Linked DNA regions of Mus musculus: regions 1, 2, 3, 4 and 5 are each reported to be linked to region 6. Evidence: microRNA targets listed by miRTarBase, many of them from high-throughput screens and not tested one by one. Region 6 holds a microRNA gene; each other region holds the end of a gene's coding sequence. Distances are between the middles of the regions.

The links. Region 6 holds the annotated microRNA mmu-miR-223-3p (UGUCAGUUUGUCAAAUACCCCA, at 2,079-2,100, shown strand). A microRNA usually pairs through its seed, bases 2 to 8, with sites in the 3' UTR of a target mRNA and lowers its output. Matches are read on the target gene's strand: a 7mer-m8 pairs with bases 2 to 8, a 7mer-A1 pairs with bases 2 to 7 and ends in A, and an 8mer does both.
Region 1: miRTarBase lists Itgb1 as a target of mmu-miR-223-3p. Seed matches in the 3' UTR shown: 7mer-A1 at 3,650-3,656.
Region 2: the mRNA of C2cd2 is a reported target of mmu-miR-223-3p. Seed matches in the 3' UTR shown: 7mer-A1 at 1,821-1,827 and 7mer-m8 at 2,113-2,119.
Region 3: miRTarBase lists Fmnl2 as a target of mmu-miR-223-3p. Seed matches in the 3' UTR shown: 7mer-A1 at 2,341-2,347.
Region 4: the mRNA of Zbtb7a is a reported target of mmu-miR-223-3p. Seed matches in the 3' UTR shown: 7mer-A1 at 3,019-3,025.
Region 5: miRTarBase lists Phka1 as a target of mmu-miR-223-3p. Seed matches in the 3' UTR shown: 8mer at 3,249-3,256.

What each region holds. Positions count from the first base shown.
Region 1 is chr8:128,731,834-128,735,923 of GRCm38, reverse strand. Itgb1 (integrin beta 1 (fibronectin receptor beta)) reads right to left here. Exons shown (of 16, transcript NM_010578.2): 16 at 2,345-3,901. The coding sequence ends at 3,836. LOC108167564 (a long non-coding RNA gene) reads left to right here. Exons shown (of 5, transcript XR_003947630.1): 5 at 1,552-1,690. Among named protein-coding and RNA genes, the nearest start is that of Gm26100, 37 kb to the left of the region's middle.
Region 2 is chr16:97,855,836-97,859,925 of GRCm38, reverse strand. C2cd2 (C2 calcium-dependent domain containing 2) reads left to right here. Exons shown (of 14, transcript NM_174847.2): 14 at 350-4,090. The coding sequence ends at 570. Among named protein-coding and RNA genes, the nearest start is that of Prdm15, 6.7 kb to the right of the region's middle.
Region 3 is chr2:53,131,242-53,135,331 of GRCm38, reverse strand. It overlaps Fmnl2 (formin-like 2), which reads right to left. Exons shown (of 27, transcript NM_172409.2): 27 at 1,130-3,492. The coding sequence ends at 3,454. Prpf40a (pre-mRNA processing factor 40A) reads left to right here. Exons shown (of 26, transcript NM_018785.3): 26 at 1-630. Among named protein-coding and RNA genes, the nearest start is that of Prpf40a, 58 kb to the left of the region's middle.
Region 4 is chr10:81,147,849-81,151,938 of GRCm38, reverse strand. It overlaps Zbtb7a (zinc finger and BTB domain containing 7a), which reads right to left. Exons shown (of 3, transcript NM_010731.3): 3 at 282-3,969. The coding sequence ends at 3,504. Among named protein-coding and RNA genes, the nearest start is that of Zbtb7a, 14 kb to the right of the region's middle.
Region 5 is chrX:102,512,723-102,516,795 of GRCm38, forward strand. It overlaps Phka1 (phosphorylase kinase alpha 1), which reads right to left. Exons shown (of 33, transcript NM_008832.2): 32 at 4,055-4,073; 33 at 1,253-3,493. The coding sequence ends at 3,320. Among named protein-coding and RNA genes, the nearest start is that of Hdac8, 9.6 kb to the left of the region's middle.
Region 6 is chrX:96,240,806-96,244,895 of GRCm38, forward strand. Mir223 (microRNA 223) reads left to right here and starts at 2,012; the gene lies at 2,012-2,121. It overlaps F630028O10Rik (RIKEN cDNA F630028O10 gene), which reads left to right. Exons shown (of 3, transcript NR_030718.1): 3 at 233-2,837.

The DNA.
Region 1 (4,090 bases), not on the chromosome of region 6:
AGTGCTCCTATAAACTGCCGAAATCACAGTGCCACCCACATGTCTACGAACACTAAAAATCTGGCATTCAGAGGGCTGGGAATAGAACTCAGATGGTAGAGTAATTGTCAAGTACCTTTACTCAGCAGTCGGTCCCTAAGTTCTGCATGGGTCTAGCACCCCTGCCTTCCACAAAAGGGCCTGGCATATGAGAGATCCCTGGTAAATAAGCAGATGTGTAAAGAGACCTGTTTTAGAAAGTTCTAATGCTTTCTGCTGAGAGTAAATCAGGAAAAACTTCAAAATTGTAAGCCCATAAAGGCAGATACTGACTCTTTAAGGGATCTGGCAAAATGACAAATATTAAAATGAATTGGCCAAGAGTTCTTTTAATTAAGGATTAGGACTATAAGATTAAAAATGTATGATGCCTCAGGTATGCAATCCTAGAATTTGGATGACTGAGGCAGAAGGAGCATGAGGTCACCTACTGAATTACTTAATAAGACCTAGTCCCAAAGGGAAAAAAAAAATCAACAGCAACAGGAGGAGGAGGAGGAGGAGGAGGAAGAAGGGAGAGGCAAAGAAGGAAGAGGGAATAAGGGGAAAAGTGGTATTTCCAACTCAGTTTCCATGAAGAGTATTCTGTGACATCAAACGAGTGAATAAGTTTGTAGAGGCAGTGCATCTCAAGCCCATCCACAAAATAGAATCCCCCATAGGTGCTTTTAAAAACCTAAGTTCACTGTCCCCATCCACAGAACAGTTTAACCAGATTCTATGTATGTGATATTAATATGTACCTACTATGAAGCGACCTGTGTCATAAGCACTGTAAGAACTCAACCAACCACATAAGCAAACAGCTGCTCCCCTTTGCTATAATCCAGGTTCTAGAACTACTGGCAGATGGTGCTTAAATGATCCTCTTCTCCAGCCACCTTTTTTCAGAATGATTATGAAAGAGTTCCCTTCCATTAACACTCTGTAGAATTTTGTGGAAATGTGCATGTTGTCCTTCAATATGGAACAGATGAATTGGGCTCTCAACAGGTAGCTACAGTGAGTGAAATTTTAGATGTTTATGTAAGTTTGTTATTAACCTTAAGCACCTTATGGTGCTCACAATGGAGAACACAGTTCAATAATTAGCAGAAGCAACCTCTCTAAGACTTATTTGGAGAACAATTCTCAACTGTCTTCTTGTTTAGATCTATGAGAACTGGGGCAGCAGATACACCTGGAATTCTTCATTGGGAATTAAGGGATCTATATAAACTTTGAAAAGACATAGCTGAGGTATTAACCAACAAATAAGGGACATTGATCACTAGAATTCAGGGTATTGAGAGCTTCATGGACAGTTCTTTATCCATAAGGCAGCTTTGGAGTCTGTTTTGCCACTGAGAAAGAACAGTGACTTTAAAATCAAAGGTATTTTGACAATAACATGTAACTAGGTAATTAATATAAAATCTGTTTCAATTACCAAAGCTGTAGAAAACTAAAAGTTGTCAGAAGTCCAAATGTATGTGTTAGCACTGATAGTGACAATTGATGGTTTATTTTCAGAACTCCTCATCACTTTTTGGAACAGCTTGAACCTTAAGATCGCTCTGTGGTTGCTGATGTTCCGGCTTGCTTTGACTAGATAAGATGCTTCCAGTACCTTCTGGTGTGGTAAAAAGGCAATTAAACGACATCTGTGCTATGTGTGTTTAAAATGAGTGGTTCTTTAAGTGTAATTTGATTTGTCAGTTGATCCTATAGAATAAAAAAAAATTTACACTTTCAAGCAGGGACACTTAGAAAATAAAAATATGTTGTTTTAATGTTTTAATATTAAAATCATAAATTCAGGCTGAAGAGATATTTCATTCAGTAAAGTGTTTGCCTTGTAAGCATGAGGACCTCACTTTGATCCCTAGAAACCAAGGGAAATAAAATGCCAGGCATAGTAATGAATGATTGTAAGCCTAGCACTAGAAAGGGGTAAAAACAAAAATCTCTGAAGCTCACTAGCCAGCCCCTCTGGTAAGTTCTAGGCCAATAAAAAACAACTTTGTGGAATTGGTTCTCACTTTCCAGCCAAGGTTGATCTCTGGCCTCCTTATGCACACATGTAGGCATATACATGTACTCACATGTGAACATGAGACATACGCACACATACCCATTGATAACTTAAGAAAGCACAGAAGGCTGGTTAAAGGCACTTGCTGCACAAACCTGGAGACCTAAGTTCAATCTTCAGAATCCATATAGTTGTTTCCACACAGTTGTTTCTTAACCTCCACGTGCCTGTCATGGTATGTGAACACCAACACATATAAAGTATGGATTGACTTCTGATCAGCCTTCACAGCAAGAGATTTTACCCATTAAGACACTTTGCCAACCCAAGTTCTTTTAAACCTTACACAAGTGTTTTTATGGAAATAGTTTTACAGAAAAATAAACTAAAACCAAAAGAAAGTTAAGATTTCCCTAGTTCTTCCTAAGAATGAAAATACAACCCCTCTCTTAACTATTAGTTCTCCAGCATCTAGTAGCCTAAAATGATATTCATAAAATGTTCTGCTAACGTAAGAATAAAACACCTAACTAAAATCTGTTCTACTACCCACTCCCCACATGTCTAAAATGAGTCATTTTGGCTTAAGTGGTTTGAGCCACGTTTCTCTACCATATCTTTAACACATAAAAATGCACAAAACTAATAAAAATACAGAGCCAAAACAAATCACTTAATGTATTTAGGCCTTTTTATTTTAATAAATAACTTCAGTTAATAGCACTGTCAAAATGAAAAGGCACTTAAAACAAGATTGTGACTAGTTCGAGACAGAGCAAGCATGTAGGAAAGGCATGTGCAGGTGCACTGTGGGTGAATTGTTGCTGGGGGGCCCTGCCCAGGCCCTGTAGTCCTGCAAGCAGCAGGACAGCTTACAGTATTTGTGAAAAAGGTAAATGTACAGCCAAGGAAAAGAAAAGGTAATGATAAAAAGTCTAACCCCCATATTGCAAACAGACACATTAAAAGATTAGAGAAGGTGATAAAGGAGCACCAGGAATTAAAGAAAAAAAAAAAGGTAAAATAAGCTCAACCCAAAAGGTCCCCACTCAGCAATGCTACTAAAATTATGGCCTTTATGTGAATAGTGCTAAGTCAGGGACTTTTTAGCAGAGAAGTTCCCAGTACTTTTATCCAAGGTTGGATTTATAAAGAAAAGGCGTCGGAGTTACAGGATCAAGTAACTCACAATGGCACACAGGTTTTAAAGCTAAGATTTCCTTCCCACCTCTCAGAATTTTTCCAATGGACTTGAACATCAACTGTGTCAATTTTATTTTAATTGGAAACTGTCAACACTCTTGTCTTCCACATACATCACTGGGAATTCCCAGAGGGCAGCCAGCAGGCTAAACAAAGAACAAAGCCACCAGCAAGGACTGTTCTTTGATTCTGTATAACCAGCCCTGGCCACCCTGTGAAGCTGAAAATCAGTCATGGTTCAGATGCTGCGACGCTGCTCAGCTCTGCCCTGCATTGGCACTAGCAGTGTCATTCAATCTAGTGAGAGCTTGATTCCAATGGTCCAGAAGGAAGGGTTAAAAAGGCACACTGTGACCTCAGCTGACAAGGATAAAGATCCTTTCTCAAGTCTTCTGTCAGTCCCTGGCATGGATTATAACATTATTTTCAAAATAATAAAAAATTAAAAATTATACATATTGTACATTTTCCAAACCTGCATGTGAATAAAACCCTGGCCACAGAGCCCCAAAACTACCCTACTGTGACTAAGATGCTGCTGCTGTGAGCTTGGTGTTGCAAAATCCGCCTGAGTAGGATTCATTTTCCCTCATACTTCGGATTGACCACAGTTGTCACGGCACTCTTGTAAATAGGATTTTCACCCTAAAAAAAACACAAATTGCCAGTTACTCTCTAAAATCAGTGTTCCAAAACAAGATTAATAGCTGCAGTTGTCTTAATAAGTCTCTTCCAATATCCAGTGTCAAATAGAGTTTAGAAGGCAAAGATAAAATCCGACACAGTGGTGAGAAGGCCAGCTCTGACCCAAAAGTCTCAGGCTATTAAAATATT
Region 2 (4,090 bases), not on the chromosome of region 6:
CTTCACCCTCTCCAGGGCTCTTAGCTTAACTATCAGGAACATGGCCTTTATTCCTGGGCATACTGCATAGCCTTGCTCACAGAGTTCCTAGTAAAGGGGAGGGGCCATGGTAGATCCCAGCCCACCCACTCCACAGTGTAGCCTTGCCAGTCTTACTGCTGGAATGTTCTGCCTTTCACTCTACAGGGTGACCTCCTATCATCTAGGCTGTGCTGTTTGCTCCTCTGGGCAGTGGTCACTCTTTGAGGGAGCACTGACTCTGTCACAGCTGTCTGGCAACTTTGCTTCCTCCTTGGCTTGAGTTCATCCTCCCTATGGCTCTGACCACTCCTGTGCTTCCCTTTTGCAGGAGGACTCCTAAGGAAAGGTGCCAAGCTCTTCTTCCGCCGGCGACACCAACAGAAAGACCCGGGCTTGAGCCAGTCACATAATGACCTGGTATTCCTGCAGCAGCCAGAGGGGAGGCAGAAGAAGGGGGCGACCCTCGGCCGGCTCCTGAACAGAAAGCTGCTTACCAGGCACAGAGGCAAACACACTATGAATGGAGTACCCAGAGAGCCCTGCATATAGCCCAAGTCACCCCCTGTCCTCACAGCTGGAGGATGGGGAACAGAAAGGTCTCCACCAGAACAGCAGGAACCAGTACCACCAGATGCCTGCTTGTCTATCTTGGTTGTTTTTCCCAATAATCTTGTCTTTGAAAGGAACAAAACAATCTGTGTGTATGGCTAGGAAGCTTCCCCTGAGAGGACTGATAACACAGTCCAGTTTGCTACCAGATACTCCGTGTCTGGCTCCAGCTTCACCAAGCCATCAAAGCTCTGAGGGGGAACATAAAGAGAGAGACTTGCATCTTTGAAGCCATGTGTGATCTGATGGACTATGGATGGTAGGCAGGAGAGATCCTAGTCCACCTCCTTCTTCCTCTCTCCTGAAGGACTGACTATTGGAGTTTGTGTCTGGACCTTGTCAGGAGGGAGAGGTGTCCCTCTGGGCTGTTGCTATGAGCAGGATGGGCTACCTCACCTAACTTGTTTAGAATTAAAACGTGCACCTGGGCCAGGGGATATAGGCAGGAATTTTGACCCATGGGAAAAAAATAGGAAAAGATGTGCTTTGACAAGTGTGAGGTATTCACCTTTGATATTAGCCATAGAAATTAAAAATGTATGCAAATACTAAGTGTGTTCTATGCAGATTGTGCCAGGAACTTCCAGATTTACTCTAGTCTTCTTGCAAGTGGAGGTGTAGAAATTCAGATATGTTTCTTTGTTTCTTATGTCTGGGGCTCTGTTTTTTCCCACAGTGCAGACAGTATGCTGAGCTCAAATATGCTGAGGCTGCTATCAGGAGCAGTGAATGACAGCTTATAGGATATGACACACATATATATATATATATATATATATATATATTTCTTGCCAAATATAGCTAACAACCAAAACAATGAACTTTTAGGGCAACTGAGGAAATTACTCTGTATCTCAGGTGCCAGTTAGTCTTAGGTGTAGAAGTTCTAATAACAATGGGCCAAACTTGCAGGAATTCTTCTTATGGGATCTTCAGAATTTTACTGTGAACAGAGACTTCTGGTCACATTTTAGGGTATTCTGGTTTTGGTTTACTGTGGGAAAATTATAAAGTTGGCACCTGGCTTCAGTGTCCCCACATAAAGTCCGTAAGATGCTGTCCTAATCTGTATGCCTGGCATTGTGGGTTCACTGAGTCTCAGAACCCTCCAGAGACATTGCGTTGGGTTAGGGTGTCCATTTTCCTACTATAGCAGTGGAAAGGCTGACAGTAAAACCTGTGTGCTCGTCACTGACATGCAATCAGGAAGCTCCCTCTGGCATCTTCTGTACATTAGAAATATGCATTTCAGGGGCAAAGTCACTGTTGACCAAAAATGTCTACGATAGCCAACATTATAGGAAAATTTTTTTTATATTTTGTTTTAGCAAGAAAGATTTGTAAACTACATTTAGAAATCCTTCCTTCCTATCTATCTATCTATCTATCTATCTATCTATCTATCTATCTATCTATTCTTTTCCTCAGTTCTTGGGATTAAACCTGTATCTTTGTGCACACTAGACAAGTCCTTGTCCACTGAACTGACTATTTCCCTGGCCCTCTTTTCACGTTTGGTCATCATAATTGTCAGGATTTTACTGCTGTGAACAGACACCATGACCAAGACAACTCTTATAAAGGACAAACTTTAATTGAGGCTGGCTTACAAGTTCAGAGGTTCAGTCCATTATCATCAAGGCGGGGCATGGCAGCATCCAGGCAGGCATGGCACTGGAGGAGCTGAGGGTTCTACCTCTCTTTCAGAAGTCAGCTAGGAAAAGGCTGGCTCTTTTGCACTGGCAGAGCTTCAAAACCCACACCCACAGTGATGTACTTTCTCCAACCAGGCCACACCTCCAAATAGTGCCACTCCCTGGTTCAAGCATATACAAACCTCCACAATCATCATCATCATCATAATTATTGTCATTATCAAGCTAAGGTTTTACTGAGTTGTTGCTTGGGCTGCCCTGTAATTCATTCTGTAACCCAGACATATCTTGAAACTCTGATTCTCCTGCCTTTGTCTCTCAAGTTACAGTGAATACAGGCCTGAGCCACTGGGCCCGGAGAACTTTACTTTCAAATAAACATTTGAAAATTCTTCATGGGTATGGTGGTACAGGCCTGTGATCCTAGCACTTAGAAGATGGAGAGAGGAGAATGGTAGCTTCCACCTCAACCTGGGCTACATGAGACCCCCTTCTCAAAACAAACAACAAAAATAGAAGAAAAAGAACTGCAAAGTTCTAGAATGATCCATCAATAATAAGTTGGTTCCCAAAGCCAGGAATCCCCACAACTTTTGGGGGATAGAAGTGATTTTAATGCTGTGCTCTACTCGAAGCATTGCTACTCCATGCAGTCTGCAGAATTGTGATCCGTACCTGTCAATTCCCAGAGACTACAGGTGCCAGGAATTCTGATTCTGATGGTGCATTTTCAGTGTGGGACACAGTAGCTGTCATCCAACATACTGGGGGCCAGAAGTGTTTCAGGCTTCTTTTGGATCTGGGGCTATCTTGATAAGACTTTACCATCTGAGCATCCCTTCATCCCAAAATATAAAAATTTCAGAAACATGAAACTCTTTGAACACTGTGATGCATACAGTGTTTTGGGTTTTAGACTTTTGGGTTAGGGATGCTCAACCTATGCAGGTTTTATTGGTTTGGGCATTTAGGTTAAGTCTAGTCAAGTGTGAAGGTATCAGAATTTTAGGTTATACTTTTAGCAAGAACAAAAAAGAACAAATGATTTTTAGCCATTCTAGCCCACAAATGACTCTGTGAGCATCCTGCTCCTGGCTTCCCAACCACATCTAAGACCTGCTTCCTTTAGGGTCTCCATTGAGTAGCCTTTGCCAGTTGTGAATACCATCACAGCAGAGTGTACAGAGATGGGGGACACAAAGAGGACAAGCCTGAGAAAATGGGCCTTCCTCAGACTATAAAATCCCTTCTCCAAGCTGTTTATCCACTTCTGTTTCTTTGTAGTGTAGGGTAATTATGTTGAAATGAACACCATTAAGATTATGTAACAGGTGCCAACAGCACAACTGCTTAAGCCAACTCTGTCCATTGATCTTGACTACATTCTTTGGTGGCTTCAGTTTCTGTCTTAAGATTTTGGCAGAGTGCTAGTTTTAAAGCAGTTTTTCATGAACACTAATCCATGTGTCTGTGAATCTGGAAGCAGAACTCAGGTTGGCTGGAGTTGGCCACATTTCCCCTGTCCTTCATGCAGTGACTGAATAGAGCTGTTTGTGTGATGTTGATGTAGCAATAACAAAACTAGGGCTCTTTTGCTCTGATTGAAAACACACTATGAACAATAGGATTTAGACAAAGCACTTTATTTTACATTTTAGTTTAGGTTTAAAACTAGCCCTGCTTCCTAGCTGTGGATACTTGGCCATTTATTGCTAACCAGTTCCAAATTAGATTTTTGCTTGGATTTTCCCTGACCACATTTACAGAAATTTTTCTTATGCAGACAGGGAAAGATTAATTTACAT
Region 3 (4,090 bases), not on the chromosome of region 6:
GTCATGGTAACACTGTTGCACTCCATGTCTTGGGGCTCCTTTCAATGTAAGAATGAAAGATAACATACACTTTGTTGAGCTGTCCTCCATTTTAGACCCGACCCCCCCCCCCCCCCGTTTAAGTTCCTTAATAAGATGCTATTCCTAAACCTGCTGTATGTGCTCAACAGCTGCATTTGAGAATGAGTGGATTCAGTTCAAGGTCATCGGTGGAACCAGTCTTTGACAGTGATGACCCTAGTATAATTAATGTTTACATTTCAAAGAAACAGGCTAGTCCATAACGCTGCTCTTCAATCTGGGCTATGGAGCAGATCACATTCAAGCTAAGCCATTTTTTGATACTATGCTGTGACTGTTACTAGAGTATCTCCTGGTTACTGAAATCTTTGGTTTTTGGTCCTGACTACTAACATATTTGGGTAGGTGTTAGTGTAGTCATCTTGCCTTCCTCTACAACTAAACAGGATTTGTTCAGAAAGGTAATTGGCAAAAGGTTTATCTTTTCTATGCAATCACCAGATTTTTATTTGTTTTTATATTTGTGTGATGTATGGAACCTCATAGATACAACGGACCTTTTGTAAATAGAGCAATGGCATATTTATTAAATAAGTTGGATTTGTGTCACCGTTTCTCTTTAAGTGTCTGCCCTACTGCCCACAGTTCTCTGTTGTGACTTGAAGTGCCCACAACCCTGCTTCTCAGTGTAGTACCCACTTTGCTTAAAAAGTTAGACCTTAATCAACCCCCTCAAGGAACTCTGATCAGGAGAACCTGTACCTGTTTTCTCCCATTCTTTTCATGAAAATGAAAAAAAAAAAAATACAACTTTGAACAGCTAGCTAGAGAATGAACTCTGTCTTAATAAATTGTTCTTGTATATCTAATAAAGACTAGAATAAACAAAATGCTAAATAGAATTATAAAAGCATTCATCTGCCTCTGTAAAATGTAGTAATTCTGCAGCAAAGTAGTTTCAGTGATTTGCTGTGTTACTTCTATTCTGTGTCCTGTAGGAAGTGACTCAGGTCACAGGGCACGGCATTAAGACCGGATGGAAGCATACTTAATTCTCAGGGGTAGCATATGCAAGGGCCAGGATTGGATCCCCAACTAAACCCCTCTTAATAAAATGATCTCTAAATCTAACCAAATCATCCTTTGAGCTGTACTGTTCTAGTTACATTCAAAAAATTCTAAATGTGTAATACCTTAAGACATTTTAAATAAGTCAAAAGTCCTATTGCAATTAATTAGAACTTGGGGAACTGGGCAGGAGAGGAGAGGAGAGGCTTGTGTTCTTGGCTTGGGAGCACAACTTTTTTTAACAGTTCCACTTGAGGTTTATTGGGAGAGAGAGTGGGGCAAGGTAACAGCTGAAAGAGAAGGGGTGAAGAGAGATCAGGGGAGCCTTTCTTTATATGTAGGTGATGACAATATCTCTTTTTTTTTTAATAAAGAATATGAGGGAGCAGTTTTTCTAAAACAGATAAAATATACAAAGGATTAGAACATATGACCGAATAGTAGTGTAAATAGTTTATTTGCTCAAATGGCATGAAAAGACCAGAAAAGTAACATGGATTGCTTTTATAAAACATTTCTAATATTGCTAAGAAGCAGGGCCATTACTAGACAGACAGAAGAATATGCCAACATTATTGTCCATTTGTACACTGGGAAATGGGCAGTTTGCTTTAAGCAAATGCACGCCTTTGGAAAGCAGCTGATTTGTGTGAAGGAGGTCCACATATTTTTCTGATATCATGATCAAATTAATATACTCACCAAGATGGATATTGACTCAACAAGACGACAATCTTGGCATGTTCTTTTTAAACTACACATTTATGAGTGTGACAGCAAGTGGCAGTTTAAAAGGGATCTGTAAATAGGCATACTACTGTGAAATGTGGTAACTGACTTTTAAACTGTCCTTGTAGTTAAATATATATATATTTCAGAAAACAAACTATAAGTTAAAGTAACATTCAGATTGTGTAGCATAGGCTGATGCATTTTAAAACAATATTTACAGTAGTACCTAAAGGCTTAGGTAGGAATTAAAGAGAAGTGTAAAAACCATAAAAAACTGCACCAATCTTATAGCAAAATATCTGTACATTTTAAAGATCATATAACTACACATCCATGAAAAGGGGGCCTTCACCAAGGGGTTCACATGAACACAGATTTGGTGGTTAAATACTATACAATAATTTTTACAATTAATATACTGATGTACCAACAAGGTAAGCCAGAAGCAGAATATATATTATGAAAAGTACAAATTTAGCTTCAGTCCAGTCTTTGACTTTGGGAAAGATGGAAATGCCTTGTCAGTGAGGAAGTAAAGGTGAGTGACTTAGTCAACCATTTAACCCTATCGCGGATAATTTAAACTTAATCTCAATGTTAATTTAATGGGAATTTCCCATAAGTAAGAAATGCATAAAGCAATTCAGCCCTGATAACTTAATGTCAACTGTATCAGTATAATTTACAAAGGGAAGAAAAAAAAAAAAGGACCCTTCGATTGTCAGAAGAGAATAAGGCCAGGTTCCCAACATTACATTAATACATGTAATTTTTGAATGCTTACTGATAGAGCTTGTGGTAAAAATCTCCCTGACTAACAAGGCACCAATTTCTATTTTAAGGATTCACCCATAATGGTCCTCAAAAATCAGAATACTGAGACATTAATTTTAGTGCTAATTAAGAAACCTTTGCGTTATTAAAAGCTGCCTCTAGCTTAACACAGTTCTGCAAATAAGTCTTCAATGTTTTATGCCATCTTGAAGTCATACAAGTGAATGCCTTTGTGCATGGCAGCCTTGCACAGAAACAACATGAAATAGGATAAAATCGAATGACTTGGAGTGGCACTGCAGTTGCATCCTGCTTGTACTTTGCTGAGACTAAAGAAGGATGTAATTGTATGCCAGCTTCCATCTCCCGTTTCCAGTCCCTTGTTAGGAGTTGGTGAATATGGCTCGAACACAAAATTTCTTAGAAGACCTCTCAGCAAAGGATACCCATAGCACACACATCCGTTATTTACAGATTACCAGGAAATCAGGGTGGGCCACAATGGACAATCAAAATGGCAAATAATGAATTTAATATGAAGTTTACATTTTGGTTAAAAAACTGAGTAACATACTGATGTAAAAAGATTTAAGTCAAACCTATTGCTTTGATTAATCTGAGCAAGTTACTTCCAATTTTAGGCACTTGTTAACAGGGGTTAAAAAGAGAACCCATCACTTTAAAATTCCTATGTGTTTGTTAAATCTGAGCCCTTGAGAGTATTTCATCTGTAGTGAAGGCTGGAATGGCAGTTTCTTGGACACCCTCTCATGAAGGTGGTCTCCAGTCACATTGTTATTTCGGCACCATTAACAGAACGCAGGTTCTGATCATCGAAGCGCCGTCTCACACTTCGTCTCACCGCATCGGCTCGTCTGTAGGGTTGGTTTCTAAGATCTGTAAGGAGAAAAATGCCAATGAAAAGACAGTCAAGTACATCTCAGCAAGACAGAAGCTAGTTGGCAGCCAGTCAAAGCAGCTTGTGTAGAGTCAACTAACAGGCCCTTCAAGCCCATGGAGCATTCAACCAAAGGTGTACATCTTCCTTGAGCATTTACAATTAAAATAAGATGTAATACTGGTAGGACTCTGAGACATAGAGATTATTTCTATCACAGTAGCTTGGCTAGTTGAAATATTTTGAAATATCTCTCCAATTGGAAGCAACTGTGCTCAGTCTTCAAAACTGATTTGTGTAAAATTCACAAAACAAACTGTCTTGTCTTTATAGTTTTAATAAGGATAAGACAAGAAGGAACTGCAGAACAATTGTTTATACCGCTTTAGATACTTGACTTTTCTTATGAACTAGAAATAGTACTTAATATCTCACTCCTTCAATAGTCTCCTGCCGCCTATTCTGTTTCTACTCCAATCTACACGGGAAATAGGCCCAACTCCAACTTTCCAGGTTATTCCTAATGCAGGCAGAATGTTTCACATTTGAAAAAGGCTGTGAATGAGGAAGTCAAGCCAGTGCAGTGCATTCTGGGTG
Region 4 (4,090 bases), not on the chromosome of region 6:
TGGGCCTGGGGCGGGGCTCCCCTGACCCTCTGTCTCTTGGCCCCCCTGCCCCCCACAAAGGTAAATCAATATATATTTAGTGCGAGCTAGTTCTGAACTGAGATAATCATTCCTGGGGTGAGGAGCCCCCCAAGACCCCTGACCCGTCCGGTGCCAGCCACCCCGAACTCCGGGAAGGCCGTTTCCTCAGCTTAAATAACTTTTTAAAATAAAACTGCAAATATAAATATCTTTCTTTCTCAAAAAATAGGATTTTGCTTTTTCTTTTTTTTTTTTTTGTTGGTTTTTGTGGTTTTGGTTTTTTTTTTTTGTTTTTTTTCTATTTTTCCTTTCAGCCTGTGTCCCTCCTACACACCCCCTACTTACACTGTCTATTCCCTGAACGACCAGCCGGGGCTCCACCTGGGCTTCGAGGCTGCCATTATGCCTGCCACAAGTGACAGCCTTCCCTGGCTACCCAAGGGCACCCACCGAGCACCCTCAGGTCAGCTGTGCTCACACAGGGTGAATGAGCACCCCAGGGCACCCACTTTGGTTCTACCACTCGATCCCACCATGACGGAACCATGGCTGGGCCAGGTCTGCCATGTACATTCATTGGGTTCTATAGATATATAGTTTTTTTTTTTTCATTTTTATTTTTTTATTTTTTGCCTTTTTTTTTCTTTTTTCTTAATCTCGAAAGGCCTGTAGGGATAGGAAGGCAAAGAGCAGCAACTACTCAGCAGGGGTGGCCTTGCTCAGGTCACAGGCTTGGGGCCAGCTGCAGGCTGGTCCCCTCCCCAGCACTGGGGTCCCCAGAACCCCACAGCCTGGGCCCTTCTGTCTGTCTCACACACTCACACACACACACACGCAAATTCACCATAATGGAAGTAACAAATTTCTGTTGTGTTTTTTTTTTCCTTTTTGTTATTGGTACCAGGCAATTAAAAAAAAAAAAAAAAGTAGAGGGAAAAGGAAAAAGAAAAAAAAGCAAAAAAACAAACAAACAAAAAAACCACACACACACACACACACACACACACACACACACAAAATAAACCCCAAACAACCAAATAAAACCTTTCTACAGCACCCTCCGCTCAAACCTCTAGTGAATTCCACAATTCTCTTTGGCAACTTTTATCACGGCCTTAATTTAAAGAATAAAAATTTGTAAAAATTGATCCGCATTCTATATACAGTATGTGATTGCAGTATATTGGGGGGCGGGGTACGGGCGGGCCTTTAGGGGGCTGGGGGATGTCCCGGCGCTGGGCCCATGCGGTGGCTGCGGCCCCCTAGGACGGGCTGGCGGTTAAGGCAAGGTGGGTGTGGGTGGGCAGAAGCTGAGCGCGGAGCGGGGGTCAAGGGTTTAGTGCAATTCCCAAGGGGGTTGCGGTTTCGCTGGCGGGTTATGGGGCACCCTACCATAGTCCCCAAGGGCTCCATCCACCCCAAGTCTAGTGGCCACTGGCCAGGATGACATGTGATTAAAGTTGGTTTTATTGCGAGAAGGTGGAGGGGCTGACCTGTCTGGGAATGGGGGCTGGGGGCCCAACTTGGCCTCCACAGCACAGTTCCCGGGACAGCTCACTGCGGAAGTGGGGTGCGAGGGGAGGCCAGCACCACCCCGCCCCTGGGCCCATTCTGCTGGCCCCAAGGGGGGATCCTGAGACATCTGGGGGGGGGGGGAGGGCTCGCGTGGTAGGAGGAGTTAGAAAGGAAAACCCCTCTGCTAGAAACTGGAAAGCGACCTTCTTAGTGAGCTTCCTTTTAAAACCAAAGAAAGACATTTGTCAGCGGGGGACACAGGAACACCCGCTACCCCCGCCGGCACCCATGGGGAAGGGCTGGACAGAGTGTGCATGGACAAGGTCCCAAGTTTGGTTCCACCTTGGCCACGGGGTTTGACGGGGGGCGCCCTGGCACCCAGCAGCCATGTCCCCCAACCCCGGCCCCTGTCCGTGGCCTGTGGCTCGGTCAATACCGGGCCTTTGGGGGAAGCCAGAGTTTGGGGTATGGGGGGCTCGGGTGCTAGCCCCTGGGTTACAGTCAGTGCCTTTGAGTAAAAAGAGGGGGTGCCTAAGAGGGGGACCACCACATGGGGAGGGGACAGACATGGGGCATGGGGATCTGGCTAGTCGAGGACCAGCCCTCTCTCGGGGACATCCCTGAGCTGGGAAGGACAGCACAGGTGGCCTGCGGCTCCCAGGCCTGTGGTCTCCTACAGAGACAATGAGAAAATAAAATAACCTGGGGGACAGAGGCCCCTGGCAGACTGGGGGACCCACGGGTCCCTTCCCATGGCGCCCTGGACGCCCCACCCTGAGTCTCGGGAGCGCAAGTGGATTCTACCGGAGCGATGGGTTGGGGTTCTTTTATTTTATACAAAAATAAATTGACTTAGTTACTTCCCACTCTCTCGCTCTCTCTTCAATTTTTCATAGAAGCTGGGTGCAACTTGTAAACATTTCTCAAGTTAAGAATGAAAAGTACCCGTTCAGTTACAAAGTGCCAAGATCCCCACGTGGCTGTCACCGCTTTTGCTGATTTTTTAAAAAATGTTCTGCCTTCGTGTTTACTAAAATCTTGGGGTTTTATTGCTGTTTTGTGACATTAAGCTGTGGCCTCTCTCACTCCCTTGTCTGTCTCTGCCTGAGTCCCTGGGGTTACCTCTGATCTTGGCTATGTCCACCCAAAACTGCTGCCGGCTCCTCTGAGGAAAAGAATATTTTATATATCTCTCTCTATATATATCTCTATATAAACTGTCTTTAAGGAGTCAAAGGGGAAATCGATCTAAAAAGTGCCTTAAAAAGTGGGGAGTGGGGTGACGACAAATTTTCAATCTCTGAACACGGGGTGGGGGCATGGCCAAGCAGAGATGGGAAGGTTGGGGGGGGGGTCGCCCTGAGCAGTGGCCCCGAGGGCCCCGTCAGGTGTAAGTGCCGTGAAGGAGGGTGGCGGGGACCCCAGCGGCCCCCCCCCAATCCCCGCTCTGGCCATCCAGGCTTGGGAATAAATAGATTTGTATGTCAGTGGTGGCCAGGGTGGATGTGCAGAGATGCGGAGGCCACAGGCCGGGAGGGAGGCCGAGGGGACACCCCCCTCTTTAGTAAGTGCCCTGAGGAAGGAGGGTGGGGACCATTTTAACGTCCACTCATAGTGGACAGAGCATTTAAGGTCTGTCTAAGACCCCCTAAAACCAACCAGCAAGGAGCCGGGCGCCTGTCCTGGGGTCCCCATCACCCTCGCCTTAGCCAAGAGCAGGCTGGGCCCCTGCGTGGGACCCCTTGGTGGATGGGACGAGGGACACAGGAGCAGATGGGGCCACATCCTAAGGATCTGAGAAAGGCAGGCGCCCGCGGCCATGGTATATACACGCACACACGTCCGCGCAGGTGGATGGAGGGCGTCTGGACAGAGAACTGCTTACTCGTGGTGCTGGGGGTGGGTGGTGGTTTCTCTCTGTTCTTAGTTTTTTGTTTTGTTTTGTTTTTGGTTTGTTTTAATACGAGTCAGGTTGCGAAGTTACCCTCGGCGGTGGCCACCGCCGGGCCACCTGCACCATCGTCTCCTCCGCTGCCCGCTACATTCAGGCGGCCTGAGCCGTCCGGGCTGGCCTCCTCCTCGTCCTCCTCCTCGTCCTTAAAGTGCTTCTCCTGGCCATTGCGCGGGGCGTCCGGGAGCCCGGGGGGTGCGCCGGCCCCGGCAGGGACATCGGGTGGCACACCCCGCACACGGGGCTTGCGGCCGCGGCGCGAGGGGACCCCATTGCAGCCGTCCTTCTTGAGGTGTCTGTGCAGATGGTCGGAGCGCACAAAGGTCTTGCAGCAGCTATCGCACTGGTATGGCCGCAGCCCCGTGTGCACCCGCATGTGGTTCTTCAGGTCGTAGTTGTGCGCGAAGGCGGCGCCGCACTGCTGGCACAGGTACGGCTTCTCACCCGTGTGCTTCCGCATGTGCACCTTCAGCTTGTCCTGTCTGAGGGCGGAGGCATGGTCAGCAGGGACCTGGGGAGACCCCAGGCCCCACCCAGATACCTGTTTCTCCTGTTCCCAGACCTCAGAACCAGAGGGTGGAGGGGACCCAGCAAAACGGGACA
Region 5 (4,073 bases), 6.3 Mb from region 6:
GAAGCTATGTAAGCATGAGGACCCAGGGAAGAAGCTATGTGAGCAGGAGCACCCAGGGAAGAAGCTATGTGAGCATGAGGACCCAGGGAAGAAGCTATGTGAGCATGAGCACCCAGGGAAGAAGCTATGTGAGCATGAGGACCCAGGGAAGAAGCTATGTAAGCATGAGCACCCAGGGAAGAAGCTATGTAAGCATGAGCACCCAGGGAAGAAGCTATGTAAGCATGAGCACCCAGGGAAGAAGCTATGTGAGCATGAGGACCCAGGGAAGAAGCTATGTAAGCATGAGCACCCAGGGAAGAAGCTATGTGAGCATGAGGACCCAGGGAAGAAGCTATGTGAGCATGAGGACCCAGGGAAGAAGCTATGTGAGCATGAGGACCCAGGGAAGAAGCTATGTAAGCATGAGCACCCAGGGAAGAAGCTATGTGAGCAGGAGCACCCAGGGAAGAAGCTATGTAAGCATGAGCACCCAGGGAAGAAGCTATGTGAGCAGGAGGACCCAGGGAAGAAGCTATGTGAGCAGGAGCACCCAGGGAAGAAGCTATGTGAGCATGAGCACCCAGGGAAGAAGCTATGTGAGCATGAGGACCCAGGGAAGAAGCTGGCATGGTGCTGGGCACCCAGACAAAAGGATGCTTGAGGTTCACTGACCAGTCAGCCTCATCTAACTAGTATGTCCCAGGCAGGGCATGTAGAAACCCTGTTCATCTTTGGTGGATACATACTCACTTGTTATAGAAATGGTTAGTGAGATTTCTGTTTTGCTTTTTGTTTTCTAAGACAAGGTATCTCTATGTGGTCCTGGCTGTCCTGGAACTCACTCTGTAGACCAGGCTGGCCTCAAACTCACAGAGAGCCACCTGCCTCTGCCTCCCAAGTCCTAGGATTAAAGGCATGTGCTTCTACCACCAAGTTCAAGCCAATGAATATTTTAAACAATATGTGAAATATTGAGAATACTTAGGAGAGCAAACTATTTAGTTTTCTAATAGTTTAGAAATACCACTTATATAGAGTTGAAATAGAGTAAGCACCCATCTTATGTTTTTAGTGAGCAGTCTGTCTAAAGATAGCACTAAACCTGTGGCTTTTTTATATATGATATATGATGTATGATAATGTACAGTATATAAATGTTAGTCTTATTTGACCCAGTTGAGTATACTGTATAGCAAAACGTTATGTGAAATAATCATGAATTAGCTTCAGTCACAAACCAGATAAGCTTTTGTGCAGTAACACCAGACATAGTCATTTCTTAGTGTTTATTCTAACTTCAAGACATTATGTGTTTTTAAAAAGTTCTAGCACACTTTTCTTCATGTTAACAGTCTTAAAATGAACAAAACGCCAGTAATATTTTCTGAAAAGTTACTTTAAAAATTAAATAGCATGGTGTGAGCATTAAATCCACAGGCAAATCCGTAACTCCAGAGAAAGATAAGCATCAGTGTCAACCGTAAAGCAGAGGTTCTCAAAGAAGTGGTAGCTCCCGCCCACAGTGCTTGGGGTACACTTACAGGCCATGAACACACACACAGGCACAAAACGGGCTGTACAGTCTCCTCAGAAGTGGTGAGAAAGCCCCTCCCTGTGTTTATATGGTTTGTGAGAGGGGAGAGGTGGCCCGGCAGCCGTTTGCATCCCCTGCCTGTCTGCTAGCACGCTGCACTTAGCCAGGGAGCTCAGAAGACTCCTCACTCTGTGACTGTTTGGAGCTCACTGCCCCTTTAGCCCCATTACTGTTCTGGGAGAAAACCCTTAACATTTGGAGGGAAAGGGGAGTAGGAAATTCTCTGGGTAGAAACAAGGAAAACCAGGAGAAACCTCTGTCAAGTCAGGCTACCTACACAGCGAAGCAGACAATAGGCCAGAAGGGATATTTCTACTACCCTTCGAGTGTCAGCCTGAGACCAGCCACGCCACTCTCTCACACATGCACAACATGCTTTCAAATGTTTTTGAGACACAACCTCATACCCACACTGCCCTGAAACTTGCTATGTATCCCAGGCTGGCTTTGAATTCATGATCCTCCTGCCTCAGCTTCTCAAGCAGCAAGTATGACCAGGCTTGCTTTGCAATAAATATTATTTACATTCTTATTCAGTCCATCCATGTAGAGACAGACAGACAGATCAAAAATGCTTACAAATTATTTAACCACTTACAAGCACATTCAGAGATATGTATAACAATAGATATTTGGCCACAGTTACCAAGATTAAAGGTTGTAAGTACTAGAATTAAAAAGTCAAACCATGTAAATGAGAGACTTGAGGAATGAATGTGGAGAGAGCTAGGGGTAGCCGGATGTGCTGGGGACTGAATGAGAAGGAATACCAAGGTCCTGGAAAGGGGCATTCAGTAGGGCAGCCCCAGAGTGGACGGGTGGTTTCTCTTTGCTTAAGATAGGCTTCAGTTACTCTCTGTGTTGTGTGTGGCTACACTCCAGAGGCAAGGATTTGGTGTCTAAGGCTGTCCACAAGCAACCTACCTGCCTCTGATGTTCTCTCGGCCCCCTATGTGTAAAGCACTACCTACAGAACTTCTTTCCCTTCCTCTCTGGAATTAGGCTTCTGGCTTCTTTTCTCTGGGTTATTCCAAGTATTAACACAGAAATTCTTAAACTTCCATGTGAGCTTACATATTTTAATATTTCACCACAGAGACAGTAGGCATTGTGGACAGATATAGAAAGAACAATGAAAGGCAATGCTTCTACAAAACACCCACTCTTTCCCCACTCAGAGCAAAGCAGCCTTTGAGTGAAGAAGGAAGCCATGATGTGGTACTGGCTTTTCCTAAGTAAAGGCACTTAGAGTCGACAGTTCCAATTTACAGCAGCACGAAATCCAACTTAGCATCTACTCTCTTGAAATGATGGCCTAATCAATACCCACCACTCATATACACACGTAAAAACCAACAAATAAGAAAACCAACTTACAGGAATAAGTTATTAATACCTACTCCCCAATAGGAGTTTAAAAACTAAGCCACTAACAGCTCTACAGAATCAACGCACATGCAGACTTCTATGAACCACAAAAGTAGGGATAGTGACTGCAGGCGCAGTTGAACCTTCGCTCTGGAGTCAAGTCTCCAGATAGGGCTTCGCTCTGGAGTCAAGTCTCCAGATAGGGCTTCTTTTCTTCAAAAGTAGTGAGATCGTCAGCAAAGTTCTCTCTTCCTAGGAGGGATGGGGCAGGAAAAGGGCCTGGGGGAGTGATCAGGTGTTAACATGTCAGTTCCATGCACAATCAACCAGACGGGCTAGCTACTGAAGTGTTCTAACAGGCAGAACCCACAGCCCTCACTGCATGGCACAGAGGCTGTGTGGCAGAAACTCCTGCACGTAGGTGGCAGCTGCCTTGGAGAGGTAGGTCATGGTGCCAAATCTGCCACTGGGTGCACTGTCATACAGGAGAGTACAGATGCCAGATGCAGGATCCTTTGCCAACATGGTATCATCTGCGCCGAGGGTTTTCTATTTGGTTTAAAAGGGTGGGAAAACAGAGTGAAAGGGAAAATTACTGATCCTACTGAGTCAAACTCTAATTAGTGTGCCTCTGAGCTTCCTCCCCAGCACCATTTCTCTGGCTGTTTAACCAGAAGGGGACATGAAGGGTTGTGCAGGATGGATATGAACTTCTATACATAGCACTTGTCACTAGACTCCCGAAATTATTTTAATTACTATTTAGAATTTTCTATTATAAAGCATTTTCAAAATAAAATATCAATTAAAATTTGATTAAGTGAGTCACATTTGCTAATAACATCCTCTGTTATTAGCACTTGGAGAGAACCCTAGTGAGACTATATTGGGATCCCCCACCTTGGGTCTTTCATATTTTGTTTGGATACTTCTGTCTTCTCTCACAGTGGTTAAGAGAAGGAAATACCTGTTATAGGTTTTGGGTCTCCTGTAGCTAAAGCCGGTCTTGAACTTACTAAATAGCTGAGCCTGGCTTTGGTCTCCCAATCCTCTGGCCTCCAAACTCCTAGATGCAGTGATTGCAGGTGTATTCCACATTGGACAACCTACCTGTTCTTGAAGGAACAAG
Region 6 (4,090 bases):
ATTAAGACATGGTCCTGAGTACTTCTTTATCACCAAATATATTTTCTGATATGTGGCTTATTCTGGACATTTATAGATTTTTGGTAAAATCTTATACCTCTTTTACCAAGCTTATGCCTTTCAATTTGCGTCATGAAGACTGACTATGTAGTCATCTATGTCTTCATTCTTATGGGTCTGACTAACTTTAATCAACTAAACTTGCTTCTCTTATATGTATTCCTCTGAATAGGTGTGAACTGGAACATCAAGAATGAAAATGAAATAGTCCCTTACCCAGCTTAAGGACTGACTTCTCCATCAATCCTGGAAAACAGTATTTATAATAATCTATTAAGTCAGTGCACTAGAACTCTTTAGCCCCTTTCATGGCTCTTTTCCAGTGTTCTTGGGTTATGTGAGGTCGGATAGGGCAATTGAGAGGCTATGGATATCTCTAAAGTGTCTAGCTCTCCTTACAGCAGATGATAAGCAGAGATGCTGTCAAGAAAACCAAAACCAATAACCCATTACTCCTTTCTCTTTTAATCACTTTCCTTGGCTTTTACTAGCTCCAGAGTTGGAAATAAGGTCTCTTTAAGCTCCCTTCTAAAAAGCTCTAGAAGTCTCATCCAACATTTTTCAAGACCTTGAGATGTAAGATTTCTGTCTCTATTTCTAGAGAAGACAATTGATGCCCAAGAAAACTTTAAACCTGGGTAGGACAAAATTTGATACTATCAAGCATTTTGAATAACAGGATCATGATGCTAAACAAAATATCAAATAAATTGAGATGGCTTGGCTCTTCTGGCAGCTGCCCTGGTAGCTATGAGTTCAAACATCTTAATACTTCCCTGCAAAATCCACTGCCTGTTTTGCTCTTTGTTGCTGTTGCTCTCCCTTTTGCAAGGGAATATAAAAAGCAGACAAGAAAAAGTGGTGGGGTGGACAGCCAAGGGACACAATGAGCTGATGGATGATATAATTCCCAAACTGTAAACAACTTGTTTTATGACCTTTTGGAAGTCTTTCCCTAAACATCAGACTTCATTTTCTCATTTATAATCTTGAATGGGTAAAACTAGATGACTTATAAGGGCATTTTAATATCATTAATTCTTTACTGCTTATGAGAAAAGGCAACCAAGTTAGACAAAGCCGGCTAAGGCCACAAGAAATTACTGTTTCAATTCTGTTAAATAAATTATCTATCTTTTCCCCTGTTAGTATCTATCTTATATGTTTAATTTTAAAGCACATTTTAGTCACTTTTATTTATGTACAGGGGATCAAATACAGAGTATTGTACAAGTTAGGTAAGTGTTCTGCTACTGAGTTTTATCTCTAGATCTTGATTGTTTACTTTTTTGTTTGAGAAAGGGTAGTATTATATAGCCCAAATTGACTTTAAATCTGAGGTTCTCCTATCTCTGTCTATGAAAGCTTGTATGCACACATGTACTATCATACCTGGCTATAGCCACAATTTTTGAGTATTTGTTAGGTAACAAACACTAAATTAATGGCTTTATATGCATTATTACATATTCTTGCCATGATTTCATGGGCATTTTTGTGGCTATGGAAGAAGTAGGTTTCAGGGACATAAACTCATTTATTTAAGGTGTTCAGCTAGTTAATGGTAGAGGTAGAATTCAAATCCAGTTTTAAAAATCAACATCTAGGTACATAACCAGGGTAAACAGAGCATACAAGAAGTTGATAGGAGGAAGGAACACATAAATTGTCCCCGAGGACAGAATGATGACAATTTTTTCCTGTTTCAGCTGAATAGAAGAGTTAATTGAGGCTTGGGCCACCAGAATCTCCAGACAAACACCCAGGATCCCCGTTTTTGTTTGGAGCATTAGCGTGTTTTGTTCACTTCCCTCTTTTGGTGTGTCTTAGTCAGTCATGTTAGTGTCTGCCATTTGTCTCACACTTAGGGTAAGATATAATCACCCTATTTTTTTCTCTTTCCAGTTGCACATCTTCCAGCATGTTCTTGCTGCCCAGTGGAGGTTCCTGATCTGGCCATCTGCAGTGTCACGCTCCGTGTATTTGACAAGCTGAGTTGGACACTCTGTGTGGTAGAGTGTCAGTTTGTCAAATACCCCAAGTGTGGCTCATGCCTATCAGCTCCAGGTCCAGGACAGAGCACATAGCCTGCTGCCTACATATGAATGCTTATGAAACATGAAGCTCTCTGGTGTTATTCTATGTCTTTAAGGGAACTATAACATTTATTCAGAGAACATCAGAGTAGGAACGATGCAGCTCTGGGGTCTACAAGTCTGGTATGCATCTGTGTACATTGTGAAAATGCCATGGACTGCATAGTGGTACATGAGGGATACAGGGAATGAGAGTATTATTTGATTTATTATTAATGTCTTCTTTCACTTTCCTCTTCTTGCAGCCAGAATAGCAGAATTTTCATACAAGCATCATGAATTCTATGAGAAAGTAGGAAATAAATATCCACTGTCTGGCCTTCGGAGCACATCTTAAGCTACCTACATTTTCTCTTTTCCACTTTGCTTTTATCATTCTTAAAAGAACCTTCTTGTTTATCTTCATTGGGCTTTCAGACACTACCAAATTCCAATTCCTCTTGGCACTATTGAAAGTTAACCTATACTTTTCTTTACTCCTTGGCTAACCACATACTGGTATGTGCTATTATATGTCCTACCATCCAACACATCTTCTAAAGTTGTCAGTGAATTTTTCCAGGGTATGTTCTTGAATTCCCTATTATATTGTAAGAATCTAGAGCTTATTATATTCAGTTGATTGCTGTCTCTCATACCATTGTCCAACATTTTAATTATTAATAAATATTTACCAATTAATTGATGTTTTACTAGTCAATAACCTTTTGCTATATAGGTCAAATACCAACCAGGGTTTTGCGAAAAAAATAAATCAAACTGTGGGTATTCTAATGCTATAGTGTATACAAGATGGTAACCAAAATGGATTTTTTTTTCCTCTGAGAAATAAGATTTAGGTCTGGGGCAGGAGGGCAAGAAGAAAGAATAGACTCAGAGGGAAAAATTTTTTGAATTATTGGTTTACACGTGTCTTTTTAAACAGAATTTTCTGAGCCTTTAATATTCTATCATTGCACTGGGGTGAACTTCTAATATAGAACTATAAAATGAAGCATCTCCAATCCCTCTCTCCAGAGTCTAACATTTCATAACATATATTTTGGCAAGCTTCTTTAGAGAAATTCCATACTCTCCCTTGGTTCTGGAGAAATTCCATACTCTCCCTTGGTTCTGGAGATACCTACTTTCATTCTTTAACTTTTCACCCACTAACCAGTGACCTAAATAACAAGACCCATATTGTTACCCCAATTTTGCTCAGAATTGTCGGAGGGATGCATCTCTATCTAGGGATGACTTACTGGCTTACCCTGCATGGAAAAATACCATTGTTTAGGGACAAAGACCATCTTCAGAAGATGTCTGCAGCAAAGTACACACACTGCTAAAAATCCACAGGTCTAACCTCCAGTCTTTGTTCTGCCATTGACTTGATGTATGTTACTTTTGACAAACCTTCATTTCTCTCTGGGCTTCACTTCCCAATTTGTGGTATGTGAATGTTCAGATAAGTAATCTGTAAACATTTTCACATGCAAGAATAGGAGACATTCCTGGTGGTTCCAGTGTTGGGGGTTCCCTGAATTTGTGGCTCACTTTACTAGGGCAATTTCAATAAACATTCTCTCTTCAAGCCCAGGGATTAATTCTAAAGAGCAGAATGAGATAAAGGGTGTTTTCAAGGCTTTCAGGGCTGGACTCACAGATGTTTCATGAAGGAAGCTGAGGTTTCTACTGGGTGGTACCCAGGTTGTGGAGGCTGGTAAGTGAGATGGAGAAGAAGAAGTCATCTCTGACACTAATTATGCATAGCTAGCATTTGTCAAAGAAGAAAATGCTGAGATTTTGGTCATAGACTTGGCAGCATCAGTGGGGGTAAAATAGGGCAGACTGTCAATCACTTTTGTGTACTATTTTGACTTTTGCAGTCATTTCAAAGTGGGAGTACCTCTTGTTGAAACCTGATCTGATCCTGTGCATATGCAGACTAC